Drosophila melanogaster: one gene and its partner. Each later gene encodes a partner of the first gene's protein in a complex. Each region holds a gene or a part of one and is shown in the gene's direction. Other genes may lie near its edges.

Evidence for each region.
Region 2: the proteins of eIF4G1 (region 1) and eIF4E1 are in contact, whole or in part, in a crystal structure (PDB 5T48), measured with the Drosophila melanogaster proteins. Residues at the interface, in NP_001137857.1 of Drosophila melanogaster: Tyr605, Trp610, Pro612, Lys619, Gln620, Tyr621, Arg623, Leu626, Leu627, Leu629, Arg630; in NP_001261626.1 of Drosophila melanogaster: Lys80, His81, Pro82, Leu83, Met84, Val113, Trp117, Tyr120, Asn121, Leu174, Asp175, Leu178, Ile181, Gly182, Glu183, Ala184.

Annotation. Positions count from the first base shown.
Region 1 is NC_004353.4:921,537-938,284, reverse strand, and holds the start of eIF4G1 (eukaryotic translation initiation factor 4G1), read left to right. Parts: upstream 1-7,569; 5' UTR 7,570-7,773; exon of another isoform or gene 7,774-8,003; intron 8,004-8,153; 5' UTR 8,154-8,205; intron 8,206-8,261; 5' UTR 8,262-8,385; coding exon 8,386-8,463; intron 8,464-10,133; coding exon 10,134-10,892; intron 10,893-11,623; coding exon 11,624-12,274; intron 12,275-12,336; coding exon 12,337-12,517; intron 12,518-12,598; coding exon 12,599-12,710; intron 12,711-13,146; coding exon 13,147-13,202; intron 13,203-16,748.
Region 2 is NT_037436.4:9,393,174-9,410,196, reverse strand, and holds eIF4E1 (eukaryotic translation initiation factor 4E1), read left to right. Parts: upstream 1-7,736; 5' UTR 7,737-7,893; coding exon of another isoform or gene 7,894-7,917; exon of another isoform or gene 7,918-8,280; intron 8,281-8,391; exon of another isoform or gene 8,392-8,540; intron 8,541-8,590; 5' UTR 8,591-9,100; coding exon 9,101-9,157; intron 9,158-9,243; coding exon 9,244-9,614; intron 9,615-9,678; coding exon 9,679-9,778; intron 9,779-10,012; coding exon 10,013-10,100; intron 10,101-10,163; coding exon 10,164-10,327; 3' UTR 10,328-10,579; downstream 10,580-17,023. Other genes in the region: CG4022 (uncharacterized protein), read left to right, coding at 231-677, 765-934, 1,006-1,984; Cpr67B (cuticular protein 67B), read right to left, coding at 4,158-4,907, 5,276-5,308; CG4080 (uncharacterized protein), read left to right, coding at 11,611-11,690. UniProt on the Drosophila melanogaster protein: Recognizes and binds the 7-methylguanosine (m7G)-containing mRNA cap during an early step in the initiation of protein synthesis and facilitates ribosome binding by inducing the unwinding of the mRNAs secondary structures.

The DNA of each region.
Region 1 (16,748 bases):
ATTATATTTAAACAGAAACAAGAGTTAATGAAATAGTCGAGTTCATCGACTGTCAGATAGCCGTTTCTCAACTTGCTGGAGTGCGATGGAGAAATTTCAACCATTTTTGCCCTGTCGATAGAAATCATAAAAGACAAATCTCTTAACGAAATAAAAACAACAATTTTTCAAAAATGAGTGTGGGCGTTTTTAAGCTAAACAAATAATAATATAAAATAAGAGATAGTCGAGTTCCCCGACTATCAGATATCCGTTACTCAACTGGTGGAAACGCGAACTAGAAAATTCATAAATTTTCTGGTATATCGATAGATATTGGAAAATAAAATGAGAAAAAACTAAAAAATTGTTCAACAGTTTGCGCGTGACAGTTTTGGGCGTATACCGGTGAAATTGGCAAGACAAACAATAAAACGAAGAAAAATCAAAACATTTTCCAAAAGTGTAGGGGTGGTAGGCGTCTTTGTCCCTAGTATCTGTAATCTTTAATAGTTTCTTAGATCTCGACGTTTATTCGGTCGGACAGAAGGACATGACGGGTTGGTTATTGATCCTGATCAAGAATATATATACTTTATATGGTCGAAAACGCTACCCTCTCTTGGTACATACTTTTTAACGAACACACTACGAGTAACGGGTATAAGTAGGGAGAAAGCTATAATAATATTTTTGGCATACCGATACATTTTGAAAATAAAAACAATTAAATCACGTAGGCTCGTTTTTAAATCCATGCCCAATTTTTTCTAAAACTAAAAATATTAAGATTGATATAAATATACTCTCTGCACTGGTATTAAAACAAAAAATGAGTATTTACTTAGCACACCAGGTAAAACATTATTTATAGCCAAAATTGTTGGGCACTTCCAACAGGTGTGGGATTGTCAGAACACCAAGCATTTTCATAATACTTGGTTTTCTATATAATTTAGTGGTTCTTGCCTGTGGTAAAAGCACTATTAACACGTAACAGCAAAAGCTTTGGAATGTAAGGACAAGCCAAGTACCAAAAAGAATGGTACTGATGATGGCGTTGCTCTGAAGCTGCAAAAGCAATGTGTTAGCGAAAGCCCTAAAAAAGGGCACTCATACTTATCTGCAGTTATTTTCATATATGTACAAAGTTATTGTAAAATATTGAGTCCTTTACAGTAGGTTTCATGTGCAACTATCTTATGTACGTGTGGAAAAGTGCAACTTTTTTAATTGTGTTTATTTTTGTCAACGAGATTCCTTGTTTTATGATGAACATTGAACAACTTTAAAATGTGCAATAATTAATAAATTTTATCACTATTCACAACTCTTTTCTTTAGAAAAATTATTTATAATGTTCACAATTAAATTACCTTTTTTCTTATTTAAATTCTTATACAACTTTATCGCAACATTTCTTAAAACCTTTTTTATATTTAACTAATACGCGCACGTCTTGTCCTACCATTACCAGTTGGTTGACTGATTTATCCATGATAAGCTAACACGAAATCAGTTCTTGTAGAGGCAGCAGCAGCACAACAACAACCAAGAAATGGGTACCAGCAGCAGTGGCCAAGTAAAAGAACAACAATACTAGCAACAATCTACAACAATCCTTCTAACTGTCCATCTCTCACGGAATTTGAGAGAGAAAGCACCATTACGGCAGCATACCAAAGAGAAAAAAGCATTAATGCTCTCTCATGAAAATTTAATAACGGTTTTTAAGAGAGCTGTGTAGTCTTACTCCTTACCACCTGTCTAACAATGGTTTTTCACTATACTCATTGTGTTCGTTTTACACGGGCACACTAATGGACTTTTCCTAGGGATGTTGCAATAAGCACAACAGTTTTTTCTGGAGCTCGAATTTCAGTAAAAATGTTGTAGCTCTAAATTCGTCAAATAGAAATGTACTTTTCCACATCTTGTTTTTTTACTTAGTTCGATTTACTAAAATTAACAAATAATTAAAACAATTAAATTTGCGTCATCTTTGCGGCGTTTAATCATCTGTATTTGCCTTATGTATATATACTATACTATACATATGTATATATACTTGTATATAGATACATACATATTTATATATTATATTATTGATAATAACTACAGAAATTTGAACTATCGATATATTCCAGATCTTAAATTAAGAAAGTTATATACCATCCTCAAAATATAAAACAATTATCCAGATGAGGTACGTCAGCACATACATATAGGAAAACACATTCTCTTTTAAGAAAATTAACATATTTATATACTCGATAACGTAGGTGATAAGTGTATACTAGATATGTTGAAAGGTATGTAACAGGTGGGGAAAAAAATTTCGACCATATTATGTATTTATACTTATATAGCCGAGTCAAATAAAACGCCCATGCCCACTTTAAAGCCCACTGATGTAATATTGTTCATTGTATGTCTTGTTCAATTTGGCAAAAAATTTGTTCACGCGCCCATTCCGTCCACACAATTGAGACATGTTTCTAATTATCTGAAAAAATTTTATGTTTTCCAAATTTATATCGGTGTACCAATTAGATGTTGGCCACGCCCCTCTAGCACCCACAAGCCTGCCAAACCTGTAATGCTTATTACATAAATATTAAACTAATAAGAAATGCATAAATTTTTTAAGTTTTTAGCAAGGACCTTTACAGTCTAGGCAAAGACACTAGAATAACAAGATGCGTAACGGCCATACATTGGTTTGGCACTATGCAGCCACTTTTTTGGTGACGGCCAAAATTACTCTCTTTCCGCTCACTCCCGCGGAGTTTGCTTGCTTGTGTGAGTAAAAACAAGAGACGAGAACGCGTATATGTGTGCGCGTTGTGCTAGAAGACGATTTTCGGACCGAAATCAATTCTGATCGAAGAAACGAATTTACATTGTACATATTAGGGTAGTTTTTGCCAATTTCGTAGCAATATGATAAAATAAAAATTTTTTTAAAAATTCGCGTCCTGACTATTATAATTTTAAAGTTTTTAAATTTGTTTGTTAAAATTTGTTACGTTTAATTCTAATTTGTCTCTCATCTGACAATTTTTTAAAAGCGAAATATTTTTTTTGAAACACTTTTAATGCTAATGTTACATCACTTTAAGTCAAATGACTTAATAAATATACTAATTAATTAAAGGAAGTACAATAGAAATTATTAAAACTACTGTAATTTCATAAATTTCATATTATTATAGTGTCTTTGCTTTGCACGAAGTGCGGACACAAGCACTCAACCATCATTGCCTTATTAATTTTTCACACGCCGCAAGATGAATACTCTAATGACAAATATTCTTATATAAAGTCATTTTTGAAATTTATTTGTGTGATAATATGTACATAGATTTGGCTATTTCTAATCTATTTTCAAATAATAATAACGTTTAGGCAATGCAAAACAAGAATTTTTCGCATGGTGCCAATTGATCAAAAATATTATAGATTTAAAGTCAAAGAATTTTGAAGGTGAAGGGCATATTTTGTCAAATTTACAATGCATGAGCACACGTGTGCACACATACAGTTGTCTGCTATCACTTTATGTGTAGAAAAGAGCTGTTCGCTGTAGCGCTCTCAGCTCTCTCGCTCTCTAACAAAAATTCGAGAGAGCCTGGAGCCACCTCTAGAGCCACGGCGAAAAAATAGTGTGCCAAAAAATCGTATGGCGTTACGCATCTTGTTATTCTAGTGTCTTTGGTCTAGGGTATGTCTTTCGTGCCTGAAGACCTACGGAATATATACATATAACATATCGTCTATAGCTTTCAAAGCGAACGGGTTTTTTTTGCGTTTTTTTTTTGTGTTTGTCAAACCAGCCGTGGTTTTTAATAATCTTTTTTAAATATCATATATTTGAAACATAATTATTAAAGATCCGTTCGCTTCGCGAGTGATTCTTTGTGATTTGTGCAGTAGGTTAAACAAATATACAAAGTATTTTGCATTTTTCGTCTTGGTGTTTTGTTTACTCTCCCTGTTGTGCGTTGTTCGCAGTGCTGTTTGGTGTTGTTTTTTGCATGAACAGGAACTGTACTTTTCGCTTTCACTCTCTCGCTCTTTCGCACACAAAATCTAAATTTCTCAGCGTGCAGACTGCTCTCGTGCGGTTCTTTTAACAGCTCGCTTGAAAGTTTTGATCTTGTGTTTTCGTGCAGAGTGGTCTGATTTTAGATAAATATGGAAACCGTAAATGTTGTCTGCTTTTATAAAATTTGTTGGCAGGTTACAAAACCTGAGCAGCCAAAAATGACTTGTTGGCTATGTGATCGAATGGTGCATACTAACTGCGCTGGTTTTAATGGCCGTACAAGTGATGACCTAGCAAAGGGTAAAAATCTAAATTACTGTTGTGATGCTTGCCTTGTGGTTGCGAACGAGATGAAATCGTTTATGCGCCAAACTAAAGGTGGCTTGAAAGAACTGATCAACTGTTTTGGCATAGCTAGAGATAGTTTTCGTCGAGCCGATGATCTTCTTTCCGCACTTAATTCACAGTCTAATGGCCTTAAGCTATTAGATGAATCTCCAAAGCGCAAAAAAGCCGCTGGTGGTAGGCTTCCTAAGGCCCCGCAACCACGGGCAAATGATCAACAGGACTCCACAACTGATTAGCTGTCAATCGCAGCAAATCCGCATATGTTGCTAAGATCGGCAGCTAAAAAAGATTCGAGGTTTCCCTGTTGATCTTCTAAATTGGATTTCAAGCAGAAATCCAATTTAGATCCTGAATGGCAGTACGCAACAAGTCCTCTTTAAAAATACTTTATCTTGTATTCTCCGAGTCACATCCGGTGTCCCACAAAGGAGCCATCTTGGCCCGCTTCTTTTTACCTTATTCATTAACGACCTTTTCTTAATAATAAAACATTCGCGTGTACCTATGTACGCAGTCGATGGTAAATTATGCCTTCAGCACAAGGACACTTCGTGCCATTTGGACTTACAATCCGATCTAGACAGATTTCGAATATGGTGCCGTGATAACGTATTAGACTTAAATGGCTCCAAGTGTAACGTTATGACTTACGCTCTAAGTGGGCACCCACCCAAAGAGCACTCTTTGGAGAGAATAACACGGGTTGATGATCTTGGTGGTCTTCTGGACCCTAAACTAAAATTTTCTGACCATATTTCGTCTATTGTCAATAAGGCCAGGGGTGTGCATGGTTTTATAAAAAGGTGGTCTAAGGAATTTGATGATCCTTAATTGACTAAAACCTTATTTATTTCGTTAGTCCGTCCGATTCTCGAGTACGGATCACTATCACCTGTTTGGAGTCCACAATACGCAGTCCACTCGGACCGCATTGAATCGGTCCAAAAAAACTTATTACGTTTTGCTTGCGGCGCCTAAAGTGGGATGCAAACCGTATATTACCTCCTTATTCCAGTACACTACGTTAATTTAATTTACCGTCCCTAGCTAACCGTAGAACCAAAGACACTAGAATAACAAGATGCGTAACGCCATACGATTTTTTGGCACACGATTTTTTCGCCGTGGCTCTAGAGGTGGCTCCAGGCTCTCTCGAATTTTTGTTAGAGAGCGAGAGAGCGGAGAGTGCTACAGCGAACAGCTCTTTTCATCGCATAAAGTGATAGCAGACAACTGTATGTGTGCACACGTATGCTCGCTCATGCATTGTAAATTTCACAAAATATGCCCTTCACCTTAGAAGTTCTTTGACTTTAAATCTATATTATTTTTGATCAATTGGCACCATGCGAAAAATTCTTGTTTTGCATTGCCTTAACGTTATTATTATATGAAAATAGATTAGAAATAGCCAAATCTATGTACATATTATCACAAAAATAAATTTCAAAAATGACTTTATATAAGAATATTTGTCATTAGAGTATTCATCTTGCGGCGTGTGAAAAATTAATAAGGCAATGATTGTTGAGTGCTTGTGTCCGTACTTCGTGCTTCAAGATATGAACAAAGCAAAGACACTAGAATAATTCTAGTGTCTTTGATATGACTTTTGCAATAAACAGTTATCATATTTAATTATTTACTATATTTATTATGTCATTTGACTTTATATGATGTAACATTAACATTAAAAGTGTTTAAAAAAAAAAATATTTCGCTTTCTTAAAAAATTGTCAGATGAGAGACAAATTAGAATTAAACATAAATATAAATGTGTAAACGGTAGCTAATTCGAGCGGCGATTTTAACAAACAAATTTAAAAAGCTTTAAAATGATAATAGTCAGTTAAAAATTATTTTATTTTATCATATTGCTACGAAATTGGCAAAAACTACCCTAATATGTACAATGTAAATTCGTTTTTTCGATCAGAATTGATTTCGGTCCGAAAATCGTCTTCTAGCACAACACGCACACATATATGCGTTCTCGTCTCTTGTTTTTACTCACACAAGCAAGCAAATTCTATTTTTAGATTTCTTATGCTCTCAGCGGGAGCGAGCGGAAAGAGAGCAATTTTGGCCGTCACTAAAAAATTGGCTGCATAGTGCCAAACCAATGTATGGCCGCTACGCATCTTGTTATTCTAGTGTCTTTGGTAGAACTATGCTTGGAACAGTCTTTATTTGTAAGCTTATTCGTGGGGATGTTAAGAGTTCTGACTTGATTAGTCGGCTTAACTTCTCAGTTCGAAGTAGTTCTCAGTAGTAGTTCTCAGTTCCTTATTTCAGTTCTCAGTTCCTTATTTTAAATCATTGTAGATCTAACTATGAGTTGCGTGACCCTTACAGAGTATTATGTTCTGATTATAATAGACTTTATCCTAATATCTGTAATCTTGACTCTCTGCCGCTCACAAAGCAATTGATTTTACCTTTTTTTATTTTATGATTAGATCCTACTAACAGTAATATTTAATATAGTTATTTTATATTATATTCATTTCCTCGATCCTGTTCTCTTTTTTATATCGCGTCTATCCTCTCGCTAATCGAGGCGTACGATACACGGCAGCGCCCCTCGTTCGGTTGGTCGGGAGGTGTCGCCGTTGGACCCGTGCCAAAAAAAAAAAATATATAATAATAATATAAAATAATTGGGTCTGAATACGGATTATTTTTGTTTTGATTTAAATTCTTTTATTTATCGATATTTTGATGTAATATAGAATCGTTTTTTACCAATTTCTTTATTGTCATATGTATTTTAGTCAGTGTGAAAGGGTCTTATTTTGGCCATAATTAACTAATTATATTTTACGTTCAAGAAACCCTAATTACGATGAAATTAACATTTTGTTTTAAAGTTGCCCATATGTTGTATTCTTAGATATAATGATCTATTTAGCCATGTTGCGGAAAGGGCTCATTATCAGGAATTGAACGCTGGCATAGCATGTACAATCATTATTATAATTTTGGCAAACCTCAATAGAATAAACGTATTATGAAGTAGTTTTAGTAAATAATTAACATTGAAATATGATTTTTTTTTTATTTTTAAAAACTTATGGTTAGCAAAAAATTAAATTATTAATGATGAAGCGTTTAAAAATGTGACCTAACTATCGTTGATAATGATATTCTTCAGTTATCACTATTTCTTGTGTGCTATCGATGTTTCAAATAATAAATGCAACTCTGTTCGTATGAACAGAACACATTGCATGTGGAAATTATTAAAAAATAGTTTTTGAATGTAAAGATAAAGCTGGAATTACTGCTTCATTTTTATAAATAAATACATTTTTAAAATACACTTAAAGTGGAATTCTTAACATTTGTATTTTTTGTACATAATCACGTCGGATAGGCACATACAAACATTTGCTCAGGTAAATTGATGGTTAATAATGAGCACTGGGCAACAAATATTACATGATACTTTGCAAGTTTACTGTGCACAGTGAAGGGAAAAAAGATTTTACCACTAACATTCTGAAATGTGTCTTAACTTTTTAAAAATGATGTAAACGATGGAATTCGTGGCACGTTTTCACCATATGCACCATTGTGATTGTGAGAACGAAATCTCCAAAGTCACAACGGCAACGTCGGCAAATAAGTAAGGCTCCAGGATGGATTGGCAAATGTTTAATAGAAATTATCTCTGGGCTTCAGCTCTAGACTTAATAAATTACAAAATGTCTACTTTATATTTTTGAAACATTTGGGTGAAATCTTTTGTGATATTTAATGATTTTATACGTGTCAGTTCTTTTAATTTCAGAGACCTCTCTGGTAGCTGTATATCAATATATTTCCAGGTAAAATATGCAGAACTGAAACGTGGACAATTAATATTCATTAATATTCATTAAAGAATCAAATGATTGAATGACGTCGTATTTGTGGGTCCAAAATCACCACAGAAATCGTCTATGAAACGGTAAATCTAACCGTTTGGCGATTTCCTACAGAGCTAACTCTAGGAATACACATACGTAATGCAACAGGCTATACCAACTTTACCAACACAATCAGATATAGATAAAGCCATGCAGCCCCATTCAGCACAAAATATGGTAAGTCGATATAAAAATAACATCTCCAAAATTATTTACATATATACATTTTGACATTATTTGCTGTATTACTTTCCTTGCAATTGTTTTAAATTAGTTCGTTAAATAAATATGTTTTCCTAGTTCCGAAAAGAGCTAAAACCTATTTTTTATAAGTTTGCCTGCTGTAGTCAATGTAAACAATCTATTAAGATAGTATCACACTTCTCGTACAATAACAGCAAAGTTTAAAAAGAAAATGCTATTTTTGTGGAATTTTTTTATATGTTTGTTTTATAAATATTGCGGTTTGTATAAAAGGTATATAATTCAATTAAAAAATTTATAAAATATATGTTTGCGATTACAATTATTTAAGTTACTTACTAAATGAATTAAAAAATTAAAAATTTTTTTAACGAACTTGATTGAATACTAATAATTGTTCTAGTCCTGTAAAGCTACATAATTCATAAATGAAGCTCTTCCGGGCATGGTATGAAGTACTTTATTTAAAACCTAAACTATAAAAAACCGCGTTTTTCCAAACATACATAAATCATATAGTTTTTATCGGTAAAAATATTAATTAAAAAAATTTTTATTTCAACGGTGGCTCCAAAAATGGATGCTGAATCTGGTTTGTTGGTAACTGGCAGACACTCAGCAACGTAATTTTAAAGCTAAACTCAAAACGCATTGTGATTAATCTATCCAAGGGAAAAAAAATATTCGAAATGTATTTTATTATATTGATTTAAAGGATTAATGATTTCACATATCCAAGTCACAGAATCAGTCCATATATAATAGTCCCTAATATAATAGTTTCGTTGTTTTTATTCATAAAATGTCAACTTGATATTGTATTTTATAGTGATGTCCTTTTGAAGGGCTTAATGATATAAGGCATATATTTAAATCGCAGTAAAAGAGATATTTGGGACCATATAAATTATATATATATTCTTTATCAGTATCAGCAGCCGAGTAAAATAAATATAAAATAGTCCAGAAGATAATAGCTTCATACTTTTTATTTCTGAATGACAACTTGATATACACCGTTTTTTGACCGCGTATAACTTTGGTTTTAAGGCTAATTGTCAACATGCCGGCGACGACTAAGGAGCAACAGTCGGAAAATTAAATGAAGCTATAACAAAATAAATAATAGTTTAATTGTTTTTAATCATTTAGTGTTCTTATTTTGTACGCACAACTTTTTTTTTATTAATTAATTAATCTTGTAATCTATCATTTGAACTGTGTTAGACAGCTAAATCCCATAAACATTATTTGTCCATAGGGGACGTAGGACAAAAACTCTAAACCCTAATAAAATTATCAAACCCAATGCATGTTTTATATATATTTGTTAATTCTGGATTTATTTATCACAAAATTTGAGGCTGAAAAGTATTAAAAAATCTGCATAAGTATAATATTCAAATTTCACAGTGCAGAAGTGTAATACTACTCAAAATTCCGATTCTTGATTTCTCAGTTTCATTTTATTTTTAAATGGGTTTGTTTTGGTTTTTTTAATACTTTGTTTAAGTGCAATAAAGTAGGATTAACCAATTATCTAATAGTTTTTATAACTTATATATTCGGCAACATTTTTTTTTAATCATTGTTAAATCAATTTTACAGTCCGAAAATGTTCCCACTCTTGTGATCTGTTGTAGATTTTGCCAGCCAATAAAAAGACCAAAAAGTATGATCAACAGGTGCCAACTTCAAAGCCACAATCTCTTCATCAGCCTCTTCAACCGCAGCATAGCCATCCCACTGCTCAGCCTCAGTTTCAGATAAATAAGGCATACAATGTGGTCTCCATTCTTAAGGCATCAGCGCAGATCGCTCAACAGTCCCCACACTTGACGAATCAGCAGCATCCACCAATCCATCACCCACAGCAAACACAGCAGCATCAACAAAGCTATACAAACGTTGTAAATAGAAGCTTATCTGCGTCTGAACCAGTTAGAGCCCAGTCATCGGTTATCTGTAACGGTTCAAGCATATTGACAGTAAATAGTAGACAACTGAATTCGGGTGATATGAATTCGACTGCCATTTATAACATATCCAGTTACCGAAAATTAACTGGAAGTCTAGATGGAAATGTTTGCTTTCTAAATGTACAGGACATTAAACAAAATGGCAACATCAGTGGGTCAGTAGTATCAAATAAGTCCATCGTCGGAGTCGGAAGTGAAAAAAGTTCTTGTACTGGAGTCAGTATTAACAACCAAATAGTATTGCCTAATGCGCAAATAGGAACATCTATGGGAATAGCTGGAACAACTACAGCAGGCACAAGCTACATGCACGAAAAGAATATCGTTGGCGTTAGCGTCAATTGTGTTAATACTAGTAAAAAGTATGATTTCAATAACAGTAGTTTGTTATCAAATAATAGTTACCCGGCATCTACAGCAGAGGTAAACCTTGCAAATTCTGTGACTTTAGGAAGAGATTCATTTTAAATAATTCTTAACTTCATTTCACCTCCCTTTTTTTTAATAATTAGTTTTTAAATACTTTAGGTCCCAAAATTTATTAAATATCAATACGATTTTTTATTTAATGAGCAGTTTTTCTTATAATGTGAATATATGTATACTTTTATATTGTACTCACAGTGCCTAATGTAATGTAAAGAAACCAAGAAACCCGCTATAGTCGAGTTCCTTGACTAGCTAGTTGGAGGCGAAAAAAATGGGGAAGAAAAAATATAGAAATACAAATCATTTAAACATTTTGGAAGATTGGGGGCAGCCTTTTGCGCTTTAAGGGCGTTAGGACATGCCGATATAAATTGGCAAGACAAATCACCAAATAACCAACGGATTCTGCTTGCGTGATCTCAACTTTCTGACACAATTCCCAAAATCGTTACGTTCATAAGGCTAGATCGACTCGGCTAGTGAGGCTAATAATATATATATATATATATATATATATATACTCTATAGGGTCTGAAACGCTGCATTCTAACTGCTACTTTTCAAAGAATTTAGTATAACCTTTTCCTCTACTAGTATATATTAAATATTTATTCTGATTATTTAAGTTTTACATTCTTCACTGCATTATCTTTATAATAATAATAATAATAATACAATCCATTTCTTTCTCTTACTGATTATTAAATTCTTTTAAATACTTTCAGTATGTATCAACGGGAAACAACAATTCTGGGAATACCCGTTCTAATCCACAAAGTGGCGGAATATTTCGAGGACCACCCTCGACGCCTAATGCCCCTAGAGGTGCTAGTGGCGGAGCAACACGGCATGTCCATGTGCAACCCATGTACTCACAACCCCTTCACCAGAACATGGTGCTACAACAATACACACAATATAACCCACGGCAACAAACATTTCCAGCTTCTCATTTGCAATACGCACCCGCCCCCATGCCATACTACCAGTACCAATATGTCCCAACTCTTCAGCAACAGCCGCCGCATACTCGTAGTGCTGTCACGGTAAATACGAACGTCAATGTGGGAAACAATTTGCAGCCAGTGCAGTCTGGACCCAATGGACCTCTCCCTGTTCCGGGGGCTAGCTCGTCGCAAATTCAATTGCTCACAAGCACAGTGCAGCCAGGAGCCAGCACTGTAATGGGCGTTGGCGGTCCTGGTAGTACAATGGGGCAAGTGGGTGTGCCACCAATGGTTGGGGTTGGTGTAATGACAACAAGTGTGCAACCGCAACCTGTGCAGGTGCAGCCTGCTAGCCGGCGCCGGCATCAGCATCGATTGCAGATAATCGATCCGACGACTAAAAAAAATATTTTAGACGATTTTGATAAGGCAAGTAATACATGCACTTTATATTTCGAGTCATTTAATATTTTTATTTCTATCTTTTAAAGACAAAATCAAACACAGACAATGAATTTTCCGATCAGGTAACCTCCACAAACACACCAGCAACTGTCCTTTCAGAAGGTCCAATACGTATTCCACAGCAAGAAAGTGTTGGTTTAAATAATTTGACCAGTACATCATCACAAGGATCAGAATCACGGACAAACGCGCCTTATATCCCCATTGGTAAGTAGTTTGGGAAAACCTTTAAATTTACGTCAAATTTTACATAAGACCGATATGTTTTAATTATTAAATATTTTGCAGAAACAACACCAATAAGTCGAACAGATGTTGGGCCGACTCCAATCGTATCCGCGATGACTGATGCTCCTTCGGTTGAAATATTACCAACGCCCCAAAGAGGGAGAAGCAAAAAGTAAGAAACACATTGTTAAGGAACAGTTTTTTATTCAAAGTAAATTATCGGATATTAATTATGAACTCAGGAAAGCAGATAAAATTTTGTATATTACGTTTCGTTTAAGGTGTTACGAGAAGTTTAAGTCTTTCAGTTGCATTCAAATTAAATATGTTGTGGTTTTCTTTCTTCCGGTTGTCGGTCCGTATGAACGTGGATATATCGGGAAATATAGAGATTGAAAATACAGAATCTGGCGACACGCAGCTAAAGCTGCGTTTATTTGCTAATTAAAAGCGGTCTGATAGAATCCTCCCAAAAGATAATTTCTAGTTCTTTAAAAAGTTGTATTGACGAATTCAAGTATTTAATTAAGGCTAAGTCGCGAACCCCGACTATAGCATGCTGTCTTGTATTGTTAAATAATCCTTTTTAATATTTTTCTTTTCTTTAGAATTCCTATAGTGTCTCCTAAAAATGTATCTGAGTCCATAGTTGCTCCTATCACTGGTAAGTTGTAATATTGTTGTTTTCGTAGTTCATCTTAACATTTAATTTTTAATTTTTTTTATTTGATAGCCGCCAGGCTCTGATTCTGCGCAAATTGTCAAACTCCCAAACCTTTTTAAGTGCTTCGTGTATAACTATTCCTTTTCGCCATCTCAAATATTGTTTATTTCGGACCTTTGACTTGAAAGAAATGAAGTCTCGACTTCAAATTTCGGGTAAATTTCCACCTGGCGAATGCATTTACAGATTGGTAGTTATTTAACGCCCACAAAATGCATAATTTTTTAATATATTTGTCATTAGCATAACGACATTAACGTTATGTCGCTCTAAATAATGAAATAATAACATACACTGAAGAGAAATTTATAAATTTTTCTGGAACATCTATAGAAATTGGGAAAACAAAAAATAAAACAAAAAAAAAAATGTTGCCAACACTTGTGAAACATTTTTGACAGTGACAGTTTGAATGATAAGTTTTTGATTCGCGAACCAGCTCGTCGACATGCTAAATCCGCGGTTTATCATACATTTTTTTTTAATGAACAATGAAAAATAATTATAAATTAAATGAATTGTTTTTGGGCGTAAATTGGGCGTCGACATATTTTTTTGGCATATCGAAAAAAAAATTAAAACCGATTTTCACAGGTGTGGGTGTGACAAAAACGTATCGTCTGCCTCTCTGAAATCAGCATATTATATAAAGCTTTGTTCAATGAAATAGCAGTGCGAGGGAACCTAAGAAATACATATGTATTTTTTCATCTCCCTTTCTGAATCGACTTTTTTATTCCCCTTATTTTTATAAAAGTGAATGTGTAGATAGGAAAAAAGAAATTCCCGTTCATGTTATCCTTTTTTTATTTACATTCTCGAAAAAATTCACAACTTTTAGGCTGTTCAAGTAATAGACCCTAATGAACGCATTAAAAAGAAATACGATGTTCGTTGAAGTCAAATTGAATTTTGTTAATATTTTTAAGTTTTTTAATATATTAAAAAATTGCTCTTTAAAACTGTAAATCATAGGGTTTTTTAATCTTAAACTCGCAGGTCCCAATCCTGTTTGGGGTTTCCCAAAAAGTAAATGCATTTTTAAAAAAATTAAGAATGAACATTAATCAAATATATAATTGCCATTTTGTTCGTTACCCTTTTGCCATCTTCCTGGCAAATGTACGCTCATAGAACTTCTGGCCTCTATCTGCAAAAAACTGAACCAAGTGCGATTTTATAGCCTCATCATTGCCGAAAGTTTTACCATTTAAGGAGTTCTGCACAGATCGAAATAAATGGTAGTCTGATGGTGCACGGTCAGGGCTATATGGTGGATGCATCAAAAGCGAGTTACCAAAGATGTGTGCGGTCTAGCGTTGTCCTTGATGGCTGTATTCAATTTGTCCAATTGTTGACAGAAAACATCCGAATTAATCGTTTGGTTCCTTAGAAGCAGCTCAAAATATACGACACCCTTCCAATCCCACCAAACAGACAGCATAACCTTCTTTTGGTGGATATCAGCCTTTGAAGTGGTTTGAGCTGGTTCACCATCCAGCTCAACCAGCTCAATTTTTCATCTCCAGTTATGATTCGTTTTAAAAACGGATCGAATTCATTGCGTTAAGATGCATATCACAAGCGTTGATTCGGTGTGTTAAATGAATTTCTTTCAATACATGTGGTACCCAAATATCAAGCTTTTTCACCAGTGCAAGACTTTTTATGTGATAATGAACGGTTGATTTTGGTATATTTAACATCTCTCCTATCTCACGCTCAGTTACATGACGATCCAATTCGATTCCATTTGGCCGACATGAACGTGGCTCATCTTTAAGTGAAAAATCTCCAGAACTGAATTTGCGAAACCAATTTTGACACTGTCTTCCTTTTAAGGCTTCATCACCATACACATCTTGTAACTTTTTAGCAACCTCCCCGCGTTTTTTCCTTTACGGAAATAATAAAGTAAACTATGACGAAAATGCTCCTTTGTGGGCTCCATATTAAAATTGACGCCAAACAAACAAATATAAACGAAATTTCGCACACTTTTTCTAAAGCAAGCTAAAAGTAACAGCTGATAACTGACAGAAGATAGAATGCAATTACAAAGTCACAAGCCGTTGAAAAAATTTGTCAACGCCGACTATATGAATATACTTATTGGGCCTGCCTTTTACAATCTTAAAAAAAATTTAATATACCCATAATGTAGGACTCGATGTGTAATTGCGTGACAATTTCAAACCAACTATACGAATTAAAGTAATTTTCCCATAATTCAGAAATTTTGTTTTAGTAAGTGCATTTCCGATTAATGGCATTGTTACTAGTTACGAGTTAATACTGTTAATACTTCACATTTGCCATTGATAATATTTACTCACTTCTAGTGTGTCTTTTGCCTGATGGGCCGTTGTTTCTGTTCGTCTGATCACCTTGGTATTAGTGTTAGTGAGATACGAAATCAGATGTGTCTATCTATAGCGACTAAGGTAATAGAGCGACAGTTGGCCATTAAGACGTTGTGTGCTTATATGAAATTAGTACAAACATTTGTATGAGAGCATACGTCAGAAATATATAAACGAAAAATGTGAATATTTTTCTTTAAATGTTGTTTTATAAATGTAATAAAGTAAATTGTTTATTCAGTGCCGTAGATAGCCGTATTTTTACAAGTATTATTATTATATAAAAGTATACATTATAATCATAACATCATTATCGAACGAATACAACCTTTTCTAAAGTCTTTGGCGCACGCAGCTCTTTACTTTTAGTAAAAATTGTCTTATTATATGCCTTAGCAAAGTAATATCAATAAATAAAAAAAAATGTCCAATAATTATGTTGATGCTTAGCGCCCTTTAAATAACTGATAAAAATGATTAAAAAGATACGGTTATTATAATTCCAAGTAAGTTTCAACTAGTTTCCTCACCTAAGGGTCATTTTCCGATTTTGTTAATAATTATCAACATACCTATATAATTGGGTACATAATTTGTTTAATAGCATGTATTTTTGTATAAATTAAATATAATATAAATGGGATAATCAAAAAAACTATATATCTTTTATATTATTTGGTTAATAGCATATATTTTTTATTGTAAACTAAATTTTATAATCATGCGATATTGACCTCAATTGCTGTGACAGAAATAGCAAAAAAATAAAATTGATTATATGTTTATTTGTATACCCGTTCGTTGAAAAGTATGTAACAGATAGAAGGAAGCGTTTCTTGATCAGGATCAATAGCTGATTCTATCTAGCCATGTCCGTTTGTCCGTATGAATGTCGAGATCTCAGGAACTATAAAAGCTAGAAGGTTGATATTAAGCATACAGATTTTAGAGACATAGACGCAGCGCAAGTTTATTGACCCATGTTGCCACGTCCACAAGACTGCCAAAATATGTTGACATTTTTTTTATATAAAAAAACTTTTTGCCACGCCCACAAACCGCACAAAACTGCCACGCCCACACTTAAAAAATCTCTTGATATTTTTTCATATTTTTATTAGTC
Region 2 (17,023 bases), on another chromosome or scaffold:
TAATGTTGTATGAAGGCGACCTGTAAGCGAGAGCGAGAGAGCTGGTGTTTTGGTGTGAGTGCGTGGTAGAACAAAGAGGACGAAAAACACGGCTAACGAATTCGCCGCACGACACACTCGCCGCATGGCGAATTCAAACGTATCCCAGTGAACGAATGAGAAACAAAAGGATATCTTATTGAAACTGATTAAACTAAAGACTGCCGAATAGTTATATAAAATCCAAAACCATGTCTGCGGCCGAACTCGAGGCGGAGGCTTCAGCCCAGGAGCAACAATCCCAGCAACAACAACAAAATCAATCACAAAGCGAGGAGATAAATACAAACACTGCCATCAATGCAAATGCAACCACAACAAATAGCTACAACAATAATTTAGATACGGAAACCCAGCTTCAGATGCACCAGGATCCGCAGCAGCAGCAGGAACTCGAGGGCAATAGCAACAATGGCATCACAGGACTCGGCCTCAGTCTGATGAACTCCTCACCGCCGCCGCACAGCTACCGACATTCGCGGGCCTATCGCCACTTCAAGAATCCGCCACAGCCCCACATGTGCATCCGCACCACCACGGAGGCGGGCGAGGAGCTCTTCATCAATGTCCTCAGCTGGACGCGCATTGTGATACCGCAGGAGCCCAGCGATCCCATTCCCCTTTACGGAGGCATGCGGGTAAGATTCCTTAGATTAAGTGTCCTCAAACATTCACGTCGGTGTTTCCTTTATTAGTTATTTATGTTAATGTTCTTATTCATTAAGGTACCGCCTGGCAGCCCACGCAGTCCTCCCATTGTCTTTGCCGTAATGGCCAATCCGGAGGTGCTCAAAGACTCCGGACGTCACAGCAAAGATCCTGAGGAGCGACGAGCTATGGTGGAGCTGATGTGCGACTTTGTGGAGGCTATGAATCCAGGCGTGAAATTAGTCAGGTATATAATAACACTATTAGTTTACTGCCCGATTAAAAACAAGAATAAAAATATATGTAATACATCTCCAGAAACGCCGTAATACTCAAGGATCGCGATATCTCCGGCGAGCTGAAGGATGTCTGGAATGCCGTTCAGGCGCAGCGCGATCGCGAGAGGGAGGAGCAGATGATGCAGCAGCGCCAGCAGCAGCACTACCAGAACATCACCACGCAACAGATGTTTCCCAAATCGCCGGATGCATCGCGGGCAGCTAGTGCTGGTGCTGCAGTGAACGAGGCCAGCTCGCCGCCGGCTCACTTGTCTGAGCCGCTGCTGGTAGAGCAGGGAAATGGCAATGGCAATGGCATCACCCTGGCCGTGTTTGCCCAGCAGCTGGACAACAAAGTGGCCAGCGAGCAGGGTGAGCAGCAGGAGCAATCGCCAGTTTCGGAGGATGCTTGCGTGGATCAAACGGATGCAGGCAGCTCGCTGAATGGATCAACAACTGTGCTGGACAATCAGCCGGTGGCAGTGGAGAACGAACCAGAAGTAAAGGTTGCACCACCGGCAGCCACAAATGGTGCTAGCACTCCCACACCCAGCCACGCAACACCCACAGTAACAGCCACAGCCACATCATCGCCCAGTCCAACTCCAACTCCCGTTGTTGCTCCCGTCGTTACAGCAACTCCTCCACCTGCTGCTCCCGCAAAGAAGGAGAAACTGGGCGGCTTCCTGCCCAACGGCTGCATCTTCCCGCGCTTCAAGAACAACAAGCACAAGGACAAGGACAATAGTCACAAGGAGGGCAAGAGCAAAGAGAAGACCCTGCTGAATGCGCTGAAAAAGAGCAAAGAGAAGAAGGTGGCGCCCAGTGAACAGCCGACAGAAAAAGCCGCCGCCTCGGACAACGGAACAACGCAGTACGAGAAGAACTGCATCAACAATCTGGAGTGCGAGGTGCAGAAGCTGGACTTGAACAGCGGCACCAATGGCGACAATAGCATGTTCATCAAGCTGAAAGTTTCGCCGGCCAATGCCACAGCAGCGGCAGCGGCGGCCAAGTAGAGATAATCCTGAATTTACACACAAAAAAAAAATAAATAAAATCTCGTAGGTAAGTGGGAAGTTAGGACGATAGAGAGCCAGAGGAGGCGGCACTCTACCAGTGAACAGTGTCACTGTGTCAGCACTTAGGGCTTAGAGTCGTGGATAGAGTCGTGTAGCATATACAAGATTTATATATACAGATATATATACAAGCATTCACACACCCGTTTTTACACCGTTGGTCAATTTTTTGGATAGCCACTCAGAACCAGGACTAGATGAACTAACAGTTGTGCCATGCTCCAGCTCATAGACATTTATAGACGACAGCGCTTCTCCCAGGATCTTCCCCGGCATTTAACTGACAGAATGATAAACGTATTTACATAGTTCAATATATGTATGATTCGCATACAGTTTGCCTTATATACAACAAGCCCGAGAGAGCGACAAGAACCTAGCAAGAACCAGTTGATAAACACGAGAATAAATGTATTTAAAAACATAATCGTCGAATGAAACTCATGCGCCAAATGAACTTACCAGACTAACTACTAGCTCCATTCCCAAATTGTCACATCATCTCATCGTGAACCATACACCCACCAGGCATTTGCCCATCGATTCATCCATCCATCCATCCATCCATCCATCCATCCATCCATATCCATATCCATATCCGTGCAAAAGTATTAAGAAACTTCGCAGATCCAAGAACCCTAACCCTGGATCGATTGATCTCCACGCTTTGAAGTTGAGGGGCAGTGAAAACAGCGGAGGGAGTTTTAAAGCCGGCTCTTTAGTGCCACGACTAACTTATGTACCTTAGTATAGCCGAATGCGAAAACAGTATACAGATCCGCAATGTCGCTATTATGATTTATATTTTAAAGTTTAACTTTTAGTTTCCCCTTTTGGATACCGAAACGGGGAAACTACATTTCATTCTATTTATTTTCCGTTCGTGCTTGTTGTGTTGTAATTGTGTAATACTACTGTTGGAATTTTTAACTTTTACTGTGTTTATTGTTTGTGCTAACCCAATTCCAATCCCAATCCCTCAACTTCAAACGAAACCATTCACGAATCATATATTATAGAGAGTAAAAAACCACTAGAAATCGAATAAATATTCGGGAAACACCAGTGAAAAATGGTAAAACAAATAGTTTCAACTGCAATATCGGACTGAACAAAGCTGCCATATGAAAAGTATATACATGTAATGACTTTGTATATAAAGTTAGCTACAGATTTCCATAAAAGAAAAAAACGAAATTTCAATTGTGATTCCATCGAAAATCTAATTTTGTTTCCACATCGAAGAATTTAATTGAAGAACTCGAAAACACACACACAACGTATACCGAATAAAATATAATTTTGTTTGCTGGAAAAAACCGCATGTAAGCGGAGAATCCTAACAAAAAGAACTTTTCTTTTTGTTTTTAGTTCATTATATTTTTTTATATAGGTGCCATACAGGAAGCGTGTATGTGAATTAATCAAAATTGATTTCATCCAATTGGTATTAAGATTAAGCCCAGAGTTTCCTTAATTGTGAGTTGAAACGAGTACCGAAAACCCTAAAGTATATATACTAGTTTTTAACTGGTTGTAAATGAGAAATGCTCGTGTAAAATTAGTATTAAATTATAGCACGAACCCAACAACAACAACAACAACAAAAAAGCAACAAACATAACACTACAATTACAAATTAAATTAGTTTAAGACCCAAGTCTTCTAAGCGAAGAGCAAAAAGCAATAATTTTACTTGAAAAGAGAGTGACACGACAAGAAAATTATAATGATAAAAATGCGTGTGTGGCTAGTAACAGCAAAAGGGTGGAAATCTGGAAAACTCACGAACTCAGAGAGATGCAATAATGTTTCCTTGGAAATATCTAGAGTTTTCCGGAGCAGCCCGGAAAAATGTCTACAACAAACAAAAAGCACACACTAGCGGATGAAAAGCCAACAAAACAGAAAAACACACATTTTTATATGTATATGTATGTAATAATAAAAGATCGTATTTGACAAAAGTGTATTTAAAGTTTGCTATTTATTTTGCGAAGGATTTCAATAAATATGTGAAAATGTCTTAGCTACTTTCTACAGAACGACCTATACAAGGCGATGCGATGGATCCACCAAATCCATAAGGATCTAGATCAATATCTGAATCTTACTCATCCTTGTTGTTGATGGCACGCAGGCGTTCGAGCTCGGCACGCTCCTCCTTGTTGCGCAACAGGGGGACATTGTAGTCGAAGGCGTAGAAGAAGCCCTTGGGCTCGCCGGTCTCCTCGGGTCCGGGCACATATGGCGGCTCCTCGTGCACGTAGGGCTGGTACTCGGGCTCAGTGGGCTGGTAGCGACCCTCCTGCTGGTACTCGGCGGCATAAGGATCGGGATTGTGGCCAGCGGCGGCGGCCAGCTCACCCCACAGCTTGAAGTGCTCCTCCTCGGCCTTGAGGACAGCCGGAGTCTTAGTGGCCGGCAGTTTAAGGTGTGCCGGACGATTGTCCTCCACATGGAAACCGGTCTTATCAGCATAATAGTTGGCCACAAAGTCACGGCCATGTGGTTGGACATACTTGTACGATCCGGTCACTTTGCCCGTCTCATCGCGCTTCTCGTTCTTGCCCTGGTTCCAATCCCTATAGCCATAGGCAAATTGACCCAAACCATCCTGACCATGATACTGATGGGCATCGTAGTGCTCCTCCACATACTCCTCGGGATGCTCGATCACACGACCCATGTAGACGAACTCTCCCTTCTCGTTGCGCGCCTCGGGCAGGGGATTCTCACCGGTTTTCGGGGCATACTCGATGTCGCCAATGCCACGCAGTTGGGCGCTGTTAAGGAATTGCTGCGCCTCCTCGGGAGTTATGTTGATCTTGAAGATGTTCTCACCGCTGGCTAGTGTGGCCTGAAATGAATTAAGCGTAAAAATAATTAGCAAAATATTAAGACAAACCATTAAAGTGTGACTTGGGTGGTTAGCAGACTTTATGGCCAATTTAACACGCTACACAATTCTCGAGAGATCACAAAAAGAAGGGGTATGATGTCATATCACCATCATCATCATCAGTGATTAAAGTCTCATCTCACATGTAACGCGATGTTTGCTTAATTTTTGCACATTGTATAACTTTCGTATTTGCACTTTACGATCCGGACACATTTGACATTTATAGAGTCACCACAACCCGGACTTTAATTGAATGGATCGGATGGATCTATTCAGAGATGCTCGTAAATATCAGCTTAATTATGCAAATTATCTGCATTTACCAGCAACAGGGCAGCCAAGATGTAGCACTTCATAGTGGATTCGATTTGAAATATGAGTTATATGTGTGGTTTATCCAGGTATCACAACGTGTATTCGCTATTCTCCAGTTGGCGGGCTACTAATAACTGAGTAACCAAAAGGCACTGCTTATATACTAACTTTTTAGATCTACTTGGTATTGTTGTTTTTTGTTTTGCGTTTTGCATAAATCTGAATGAAGATGTGCTGGCTGGCCGACTGTTTCACTGACCAGCAGCAGTCTGAGCTTCACCTGTCCGGTTTCTTACTCAGCTTTAGAATCTCGATTCGCAAAGCCAGTGGCGGCAATTTGAAGTTCATTATCGGCGTCGCTCAAATTCGCACTTCTCACACTCGACTACGGATATATGAATATTTTCGGAGTGATGCGGAGACACCTATGGAAACATTATTAATTGTATGTATGCCGTTTGGTCAATTAGTTATCTAATAGCTTTGTGGTCTACCCATCTATTGTTGACTGCCACAGAACCCTTTTCGAAACGATTCAAGTGGCATTTTCAGCGCTCGTTGGCTGTCAGTTTCGAGTATCTTAAAGATACTTTTTTGACCAATCGGAATTCATTGGTTCAGTAAGCATATTCGGCGACTGGGTGTCTGAAATCTGGTTTCGATCATCTTATCTTGATGGTATAACTAGCATTTAGATACCCATTTTTCTTCATAATTCTTAATTTTATTTGTTGCATAATTTATGAAAATAGTACGAAAAAGTACAATTTTTTATACAGGTTCTGTATAAGTTACAAGGTACCCATTAGTCGAAACCTTATTTATCGAACTTTATAACCTAACCACTTGACTATGATTTATTTACAATTAAGCATCTTTGAGCGCTTCAATTACTTTTTACTTCCAATTAATGCAAAGTATACTGCCTAAGGTTTAACTTTGACTCCGGGTTTCCTGTAGATCGGCGGAAGTTTTTTTGTTTAGACATGCGCCAAGCACTTGAAGTCCGCAATTGACTGCTGCATAATTAGATGCGATGCGATTGGAATAGAGGATGCGATGGGTAATCACATCAACACTTGGACAGGCGATCAAGTGTCAGTTCAATAAGACCGGCTCAAGTGTAATTAGAGACCACGGATCTTGGGTTTCGGGAAGGGATCTTGGGTTTTCGGATCATCGATCCAACGATCGTGCCGAGCTCTTGAAAGCCGCTTATTAGGCATTTACAAGGGCAACTGCGCAGTTGATCGGTTACAAAATGACTTAACTATTTAAATAATAAACACGCTTCACGTTTCTCAGGCTAAGTTCGTAAGCATCTTCAATTTTCGGATTGCGTCTCAACTGCAACAGTCTATTTTGAAAGTCAAGCGTTTCTAAAAGCGCCACATCATCAGCGGTAATATTATCCATCCCTCATAAATATTCCCATGTTGTTTTGGGATCTTTTGGCTATTTTTAAAGCAGACAAAGGCGAGCCAATAATGTGTGGAAAGAATTTTGGTTGGATTCAAATACGAAGCAGCTTTGGTAACAACTAAGGTTCTGGGTTAGTCATGATTCACCAACAGGTTAGACTTAGTTTTGTGGCAAAATTTAACCAATGACGTCCAAGTTCTAACTAAAGTAATATCGTTACTTTGTTATTTTATTTTTGGATATTCTCGAAAGTTTCTGGAATTCTCAAGAAAACTTAAACAATATAGAGTCGCATTATATGGAAAACTCATTGATTCATTCTTATGTTTGTTATTTTGTTATTAAATTCCAATTGATGATGCCAGTGTCTAAATAAAAACGAAGACCTAATTTTCAACCAAAAATCAGGTTTTCTGGGCTTGTCCGTATTAAACATTTTTGATAATTATTTATAATATATTGTTATTTTTTGCTGGCTTCAAAACATCAACAAATTGTGTATGATAAATGACGATGACGTTGTTGTTGATGGCGATCGCGCTGTGGGAATCAGATGAAATGTCAATTAAGTTTGCATTTATATCTTTGATTGAAGCTCTAAGATTTGCTTTGCCATTTTATGCGGAAGTTAAGCTCGGTCAGTTCTTGAAAAAGTTCCCATGGGAGCAAGTTATTTGTTTTTTGACAATAAGAAGCGTTTATTTAAAATGGCTTATTATGGCCTCAATGATTCCTAATAGGCGTAACTTACTGGTTATAAACTTGTTTAATATCGTTTCATTTTAAACCTGGATGACAGAAAATGAATTTCGGTTCAAATACAAATATTACAATAGAAAGTATGATATTTAGCTCCGATAAACATTTAACAATTTTAGTATTTTAATGGTGAAATGGTAAATTCCGCGCATGAAAAGAGATAGAAGAGATGACATATATGGAAACCTTAAAAACGTAACGGTTGCTTGGGTTTTATAACAATCAGTCAGTGACAGGCATTTCCAGAGTTGCCCTGTTCAACAATCGATAGCTGCCTTCGGTCGCTCGTCACTAACTTTCCTTTAGGCAACGGCCACACTGTCTGGCCACCAAAATCCCAAACTTAATTAAAGAATTAAATAATTCGAATAATAATTAAGCCCAGTAACCTACGCAGCTTGAGTGCGTAACCGATATCTAGTATACATTTCGATACATCGAAATCATGGTAGTGTTGGAGACGGAGAAGGTAAGGCGAGAAACGGCGAGCCGCATGGTTTCGATTTCGGCTGAGCCGTGGCAGGAACAACAAAAACAGGGTTGTTGCACAAGAGGGGAGGCGATAGTCGAGCGGAAAAGTGTGCAGTTGGCGTGGCTACATCATCATTGTGTTCACCGATTATTTTTTGCACAATTGCTTAATATTAATTGTACTTGCACGCTATTGTCTACGTCATAGCTATCGCTATCTCTGTCTGTCTCTATCAAGCTATCTCTCTTTCGCGGTCACTCGTTCTCTTTTTCTCTCCTTTCGCATTTGCATACGCATACCACACGTTTTCAGTGTTCTCGCTCTCTCTCTCTTGTCAAGACATCGCGCGCGTGTGTGTGGGTGTGTTCTTCTTTAGCTACATATACATAAATAGGAGAGCGGAGAGACAAATATGGAAAGAATGGAAAAAGAGTGAATTACTGCAATTAACCAGTCGCGAACAGTTAAATCATATTTTTGTCGGCCATTGCAGTAAATAAACCGTTGGCTTTCCCTCTTCACTTTCCACCTCCTTTCTTTGACGTTAATTTTTTTCAGTTAATCGCGCCGCTGCTTTGAACTCGAACACGAATTTTAGCCGCAACATAAAATAAAATCAAGTAACTCTTTTAACTCAAATATAAAACAACAATTCCAATTCTTTCAACAGGCAATCTGTGTTTTTATGTCAGATACGTGCGCGTGTGTGTGTGTGCTGTAATTCCATCGCCCCTTTCGATTCCGAGTTCGTTAGGAACAGCATTAGTTCGCCTATTTTAGTAGTAGCCTAGTCCGATTTTAAGTGAAACAGGATACTCCAACACCATATACTCAATAATTAGTTACAACACCCACTCAACCATACAGCAACAACAAGTTTAACGAGTTTTTTGTATTATCATTACTTAGTTTTTTGGTTAATAATACACAAGTGAAGAGCGAACTGCAGGGGAGCGAGATATCACGAAACAATCCAAAATCCACACACACTCAAACAGAAATCAAAAGCTTCGCTCTCTCGCACACACACGCACCAACCAACTATCAACTATCACAAACACCGCGACAGAGAGAGAGCGGCAAGTGAATCACGGCGAATCGAAACCGATCCGAACCCACTCCGGAGCCGAAAAAGAACTGATCCTACCATCAAACGCATCCAATAAACACGGCCGCCAACATGCAGAGCGACTTTCACAGAATGAAGAACTTTGCCAATCCCAAGTCCATGTTCAAAGTAATACTCTCAGTGCGCCTGTCGCTAAGCCAAGCTAATCTAATCTTCTGATTCCCCTTCCCATCCATTGCCATCTTCTCCCGCAGACCAGCGCCCCCAGCACCGAGCAGGGTCGTCCGGAACCACCAACTTCGGCTGCAGCGCCCGCCGAGGCTAAGGATGTCAAGCCCAAGGAGGACCCACAGGAGACTGGTGAACCAGCAGGCAACACTGCAACCACTACTGCTCCTGCCGGCGACGATGCTGTGCGCACCGAGCATTTATACAAACACCCGCTCATGAATGTCTGGACGCTGTGGTACCTTGAAAACGATCGGTCCAAGTCCTGGGAGGACATGCAAAACGAGATCACCAGCTTCGATACCGTCGAGGACTTCTGGAGCCTATACAACCACATCAAGCCCCCATCAGAGATCAAGCTGGGTAGTGACTACTCGCTATTCAAGAAGAACATTCGGTGGGTTTGCTGTTTATTGCAATTCTGCCAAGATAACCTTTACTAACTGATATCTCATTTGCAGTCCCATGTGGGAGGATGCAGCCAACAAACAGGGCGGTCGTTGGGTCATTACCCTTAACAAAAGCTCCAAGACCGATCTGGATAACCTATGGCTCGATGTGGTAAGTGCACAAAGAAACGAGTGGTGAGCGGATGGTCTATTTATAGTGAATGTACATTCTTGAAATGCAAAAATATAGAAATAGGTGTATGATTTTGCAATATAAATTATAACTTATAGAAAATATCAGCTAAAAATACGCTAGTGCTAGCTTTTGTCTTAGGAACATTCAATAGTGAGCTTATATCATAAATATTTTTCGCATATGAGTAACTACAACTGTTTTGCCTTCCAGCTGCTCTGCCTGATTGGTGAGGCCTTCGATCACTCTGATCAGATCTGCGGCGCTGTTATAAACATTCGCGGCAAGAGCAACAAGATATGTAAGTTTTCACGCACACCCAACTTCAGCGGAATTCCTTTGTTTAACGATTAATGCTTTCCAGCCATCTGGACTGCCGACGGAAACAACGAGGAAGCTGCCCTTGAGATTGGTCACAAGCTGCGCGATGCCCTGCGTCTGGGACGCAACAACTCGCTGCAGTATCAGTTGCACAAGGACACGATGGTCAAGCAGGGCTCCAACGTGAAATCGATCTACACTTTGTAGGCGGCTAATAACTGGCCGCTCCTTATTCGGTCCGATCCCACACTGATTATTTTGTCTTTCATTTATTTATCGTTATAAGCAACAGTAGCGATTAATCGTGACTATTGTCTAAGACCCGCGTAACGAAACCGAAACGGAACCCCCTTTGTTATCAAAAATCGGCATAATATAAAATCTATCCGCTTTTTGTAGTCACTGTCAATAATGGATTAGACGGAAAAGTATATTAATAAAAACCTACATTAAAACCGGATACTTTTGATCTTTGATTTTGGAGATATTTTAAAATAGAAAAAAGTTAACCTATATTGTTTTTGGGATAATTACTTGTTGTATTACTAAAACGAGCTTGTATCCTAATATGGGCACCTAAAGCAAAACTTCCAAATTTGGAATTCAATTTGTTGCTAAAAATACGTTAGCAATTTCTAGGGTGGCCAAAAAAAAATGTGTATCGATATATCGATAGGTTTCCTAAATAGACATTAAAATAATTTTAGCTTTTTACTTATATTGTTAGAGTAAATACGTTTGTATTTAAAAAATAAGTCAGTATTTTTTTTTTATTAACCTATTATTGAATTTTATATGAGTGAGAGCTTTTCCATTCAGCCAAGAACGGTCACACTGCATGTGACATGTTTCAATTGTGTAGGCGCAGTCACACTGGTCGCGTCGCTCGTAGATATCGTGTAAGGATATGTCTCCGTGTTTAGCTAAATAAAATACATAAAATATATGTGCAATTCTAACAAGCATAGCCATTTAGCGTAGAGTAGTGGAACGAACAGCTCGTACCGGGCCAGTAACAACAAATTAACAAGCAAACGCACTAAAGTTTGTCGCGGAATAAAGATATAATAATAGACCAGCTAACCAACACAAACAAACACACACACGGCCAGAAGTTCGTTGGCGTTGAAAGGGAAAAATGAAACGAAATGAAAGGAGAATAACAGTGCAATAGATTCGGTTTACATTGTGCAAAAAATCGAAGTAGCCCCTGCCAACAGGGTCGCTAAAAATAAAGAAGGCGACAGCCTCTGTTTATCGTTGGGAATAAACAAATATATGGCCAGCGGAGGAGAATCATAACAAAGGCGCAAGACTAGCCAGCATAAAAGACAAAGGAGCTCTCCTCCCCCGCGTCCGCCACCCCCCTCCCTTTTTGGGGTTGAAAACCCCCCACGCGTTGCGGTGCAGCATCGCCCCGACTATGCGATACCCTGCAATCGAGTTTATAGTGCTATAGAGAGAGAGAGAGAGAGCGAGTTACGAACAAAATGCCTTGCGACAACGCCAAAACCTCTTCGGATATCGAGCATGTGGATTGGAATTCCGGCCAGCACTATGCGAATGTCAGGTGAGTTTTGAATGCCCTTGATATGGCCAAAAAAAAAGGAATCCTATAAGTTATTCAAGTACACCAAAGAACAAAAAAAAAAGTAAAATAAAGAAAAACGAGAAATAAAATAAAATCAAGTGCAAGCACGCAATTGAAAAATCGTGGGATGGTTGACATTCTTCTTGGCATTGTCCATTGTTTATTTATAGCCAGGAAACGGACATGATTTAAATGTTTGATTGTTCGTCGTTTGGGAAATCACAATAATTAAGTTCTCAACGCAGGCTGCAAGTGCTAAAAATCAATGTGTGTTCTTTGCGCCACAATAAACAAATCCAGCTGTCCATACCGACACGCAGATAAGATATACCTTAATCGAAATGAAAACGAAAATAACCCAATTTCAAGCAGCGATTGATTCATTCCCTTAATTTGTTGCTCTGCACCAACATCAACTGTTGAGATCTCAATCGTCGTAATCCCCATCTAACGCCTGCTAATGACAATCATTAGGCAATAGTTAACAACATTGACTTGTACTTACTTACTTACCATACTAGTTCCATGCCGATCGGCAACTTCGATTGAAATGCAAATATGGACACTACGATGCTGGGAAGGTGACAAGATCTTGACGCGAGGCGCCAGCTGTTATCTGTTTATACAATTATAGGTTTATAAATTACGCGCGATTTATTTATATTGCAATCTGACGTGACAGCGGGGCATTGACCATACCCAATACTCTTACGACTTTTAATGAAGCCAATGAGGTCTAAAATGAAGATAAATCATAAATATAATTATATATCAGTCATTGAAGACGTTCTCCATAACTAAAGCAGTTTAATGGTACTGGCTTTTCGATTCACTTAATTCGTATTGTTTGGTATTAGTATTTGTGGCTACCAACTTTTATTTGCCTCATAGATGTTGTATCTTTATCTTTAGTTATTCATCAAATTTTCAATGGAACGCTCTTAAATAAACATATTTACTCAATTGTATTTGAATGTTGAGAAATGCGGCTCTTGCGTAGCTATAATTTATATATGTATGCTCGTATTTTGTGAAATACAGACCGTTCAACACCCCCGATGTCAGTGTGATGAGCCTTATCACCTGGCCATCGCAAATCTAATCTGTCGCCGGAGTGAGTAAATGTGTCTCACTTTGCTGTTATTTCAGGTGTCGTTGTTGAATAAACATTGGCTATTGTATCGGCTTGGGCCATCACGATCAAATATTTGTCGACTATCGTGAAAATGTAAAATGGAGCGTAGCGAAAAACAAACCATTGATAAGAAGCGAATTTTCTCAAGCTTGCATTTCGCATGGGTTTTCCCAAAACAATAGCAATGTGTATACACACACAAACATTCATACATTGCATATGTATGCAAATGTATATTTTTGGTGGCGCCAGTTGGGGGGGTATAACTTTTGCATTAATTGCCTCGAACTTAAACCAGTTGGGTTTTGGACTTTAAAATAAGTTTTACACGCAGAGAGCGCTAAAAAAAAAAAAAAAATAATGCGCAAATTATCAAAAAGCATTCGAACAAAGCAAACGAACAGGCAGCGAAAACAAAGCGCAAAACAGTTGAATTGGACCCCGCCTGACTCCGATTTCCCCCTTCCCCCCTCCACCACCCATCCATCCCTTGGAATCATCCGGTTCCTTGCGCCATGCGAAGATTACTTGTTTCATCTGGTCCGGCGGAGCTGGTGAGGGCGTGGCCCGTTCCGTTGTGTTCGGGCGTGGAATTTAATAAAATGCGCTAATTTAGTCGTAATTACAAGTGGGCACGGGTGGTAATGAAGCGCTCAAAAGACCCAAATCTTACGCAAATAACACGAAATGCCCCCGTAATGTGAATTTACCAAACGACCCTCGCATAATTAGGCGATTTAAGGGTAATATGCTATATAAACTTAGTTATCAGATCCAGAGAAATCAACAATTATATTCTTACTCATTTTCAGTAAGTGTTGAGCCAAAGTATAATTTTGTAATATTAATCTTGGCTTTCAGTTTGAAAACAGTTCCGCTTTCATAGTACATACATTCATATTCGACTCTCTGTTGATAAACAAATTTTCCCCTCTTTTATCAGCTAATTATAAACAACATTCATAACGATAGTTGAGCCGTTTATTTCTCAAGAAAAAAAAACGGCGATAAGAAACGAATATAAGTTCAAATTAGATTAACGAACGTAAATATTTGGTTACCGAAAAGTACACGATTCCGGGGAATTCGCAAATTTCCATCGGAAGCACTTTCGCAGTGGCAGCAACAAAAAGTGCCGTTAAACAAACAAAAAGCGCGATGATGCAGCTTGCACTTGAAACCCAAAACCCGAGGGCGAAAAGGTTTTTATTTTTAGTTTCGCTGAAATAAAGCACCTGCCCGTCGCTCTCTCATTCACCTGGTAATGCGATAGCGATACCGTTGTGTGTGTTATATATATACATACTTATACCCTTGTATATACCCTTTTGATATCGCCTAATCAAATTGTGGAGGGCAAAAAAGCAAAACGGAATGAAAATGTGCCGATCCGATCAATAAAAGTGTGAGAAATCTTAACGAGAGCTAGCTGCTCTTTTGCTTTTGTGATCGACAGGAATTTACATGTTGCTTATTTATGCACTCAAAAGTGACATTTCCGTTCTAATTGAGTTCAAAATTTGTTATTTTCAATGTCGAACAGGCAATTTGCGTTACCAAAAAGCCCATAAACGCCAAGTCATGAGGCTGTTTCGGTTGAGTGGTTCCAAGATGCAAGAGGTGTGGAAATGGCCAGCCGGCGACTGTCTGCCGTCTAATGAAGTCGTAAAACTTGCGACTTACGCATGTCCTTAACTTGCCAGAGCAGCCGAGAAAGGATAATGGTCGGCCATCCTTTTTTTTTTTTTTTGGATAGACAAACATGTGTACTTGCGGCCGTGTATTTTATGAACCGCTCTCTGCGGTGTAGCCCACAAACGTGCCCTGTGCTTCATCGATCCAAGGCCAGTCGTCAATTGGCCCCAAAAAAAAAAAAAAGAAAAAAAGCAAAATAAGCGGGGCAAGAGCAAAGAGGACGTGTCCAGTGCCTACATGTCCATGACCATGCCGACAGCCACAACAAATGTGCTGGCAGAGCCTTCGACTGTCCGCTTATGTCCTGTCCCGTTCTGTCCTGTCCTTTCCTGTCCTGCGCCTCAATCACGCACTGACTGCCTGAACTTTTTTTTTTTTTTTTTTTTTTAATTTTTATTATTTATTGAATCTTCCCTTTGTGTTAAGAGACTAACAATAAGTGTTCAAATCTTAATCTAACTTAATTAACTTTCACTTAGTGATAGTTTTTTTTTTTCATTAATGCCCTAATAAGTTTATTGCTGGGCTGGGAGGTCGTTGCGGTGCAGCCGGCTTTGACTGCATACTCGGATTAGTTTTCTTGCGAGGGGATTTGTATGGGTGGTCAGCTTTTCGTTATACTTCGTTTTTTTCTCAGCTATTACTTCGATTACTAATTTGATTTTTAGGTCTCTGTGTATGTTTTCGTTCCGAAGGTACCACGGCGCTCCAGTGATAATTCTCAGAATTCTTGACTGTGCTCGCTGAATAATGTCTATGTTACTTCTGGATGCGTTGCCCCACAGCTCGGAGCCATAAGTCCAGATAGGTTTTAAGACGGAGTTGTATAGAAGAGCTTTGAACTCCAGACTAAGTGGAGAGCGAGCATTTATGAGCCAGTGGAGGTTCCTTGCTTTAAGTTTAAGATGTTTCGATTTGGCTTCTATATGTTTGCGCCAAGTGAGCCGCCTGTCCAGATGAACTCCCAGATATGTTACCTCGTCGGCTTGTGGAATGCATATGTTATTCAAGACCAGTGGTGGGCATGTTTGTTTGTTTAAGGTAAAGGTAACCTGCTTGCATTTTTGAACATTTATTGAAATTCTCCAGTCGGCAAGCCATCGTTCTACAGATGTTAAGTGTCGGGATAGGAGTGCCGTGGCTTTTATTGGGCATTTCGAGCGACTGAGTATCGCGGTATCATCAGCGAACGTGGAGGTTGTTAGATTGTAGTCTATGGGGAAATCCGCCGTATACAGGGTGTATAAGATTGGACCCAGTACACTGCCTTGCGGCACTCCAGCTTCGATTGCGCAATCGCGTGAAGTGCTTGTATCGCATCTTATTGCAAACACTCTGTTATATAGGTATGACTTCAGTAGCTTATGTGTGTTTTGGGGCAACAGCTTGATTATTTTAAACAAAAGTCCATCGAGCCACACTCTGTCAAATGCCTGCGCGACGTCTAGAAAAATGGCTGTGCAGTATTCTCGATGTTCAAAAGCAGTACGAATTTCTGACGTGATTCGGTTGACCTGTTCGATGGTTCCATGTTTTTCTCTAAAGCCAAATTGATGTGTTGGAAGTGTGTTGTTTATTCTAAGATGAGGGCTAATCCGAAGGAGTAGCATTTTTTCAAACAGCTTTGAAAGACATGTTAGTAAGCTTATCGGTCTATATGATGATGGCTGCGTTTTATCTTTTCCTGGCTTTGGAATCATTACTATGGTCGACTTTTTCCATTTTTGAGGGAAGTATCCAAGCTTGGCGATTGCGTTGAACAACAGGCAGATGTGAAGAATAGCACACTTTGGGAGTTCAATGAGCATTCTTGGAGTTATTAGGTCGTAGCCAGGCGATTTTCTTGGGTTCAGTTGCTCTTTGATAACCTTTGCTAGTTCACATGGTCGGAATTCAAAGGGTTCTTGAGGATCTAGATTGGCTGCTATTAAAGGAGGGAGAATAAATGTGTTGGTAGAGGGATTTGGTCGGAATACATTTTGTAAATGGTCAGCGAAAGCACTGGCTCTTTCTTCATCACTTCGAAACCAGGTGCCAGAGGGACTTCGTAGTGGCATAATTGGCGCTATTGGAGTCTTTAGGTTTCTGTGAGCTCTCCAAAGAGGGTACTTAGTGCTGGTGGGAGAGAGTTGCTCGATATATGAACGTTGGCTGTTTTTTTCCTCTTGTTTGAGAGCATTGGTAAGCCTGCGTGTGGCTATCTTAAGCATGTGCTTAGTAATTGGTGATCTATTAGACTGCCAATCCCTTCGTAGGCGTCGTTTATCTAATACCAGCCGCTCGATTTCGCGATTAGTTTTGATGTAGTTTGGTTTTGCATACGTCACTGGCGGGGTTGAAGCCTTTGCAGCCGAAACTAAAATGTTTTCAAGAGTTTCCGTTGACTTGTCTATATCCTCCTTTGTAGATAATGCCGTCGTTAGTTCTATGTGTGAACAGACATACTTTTGATACCTTGGCCAGTTTGTTCTAAAATTTGTGA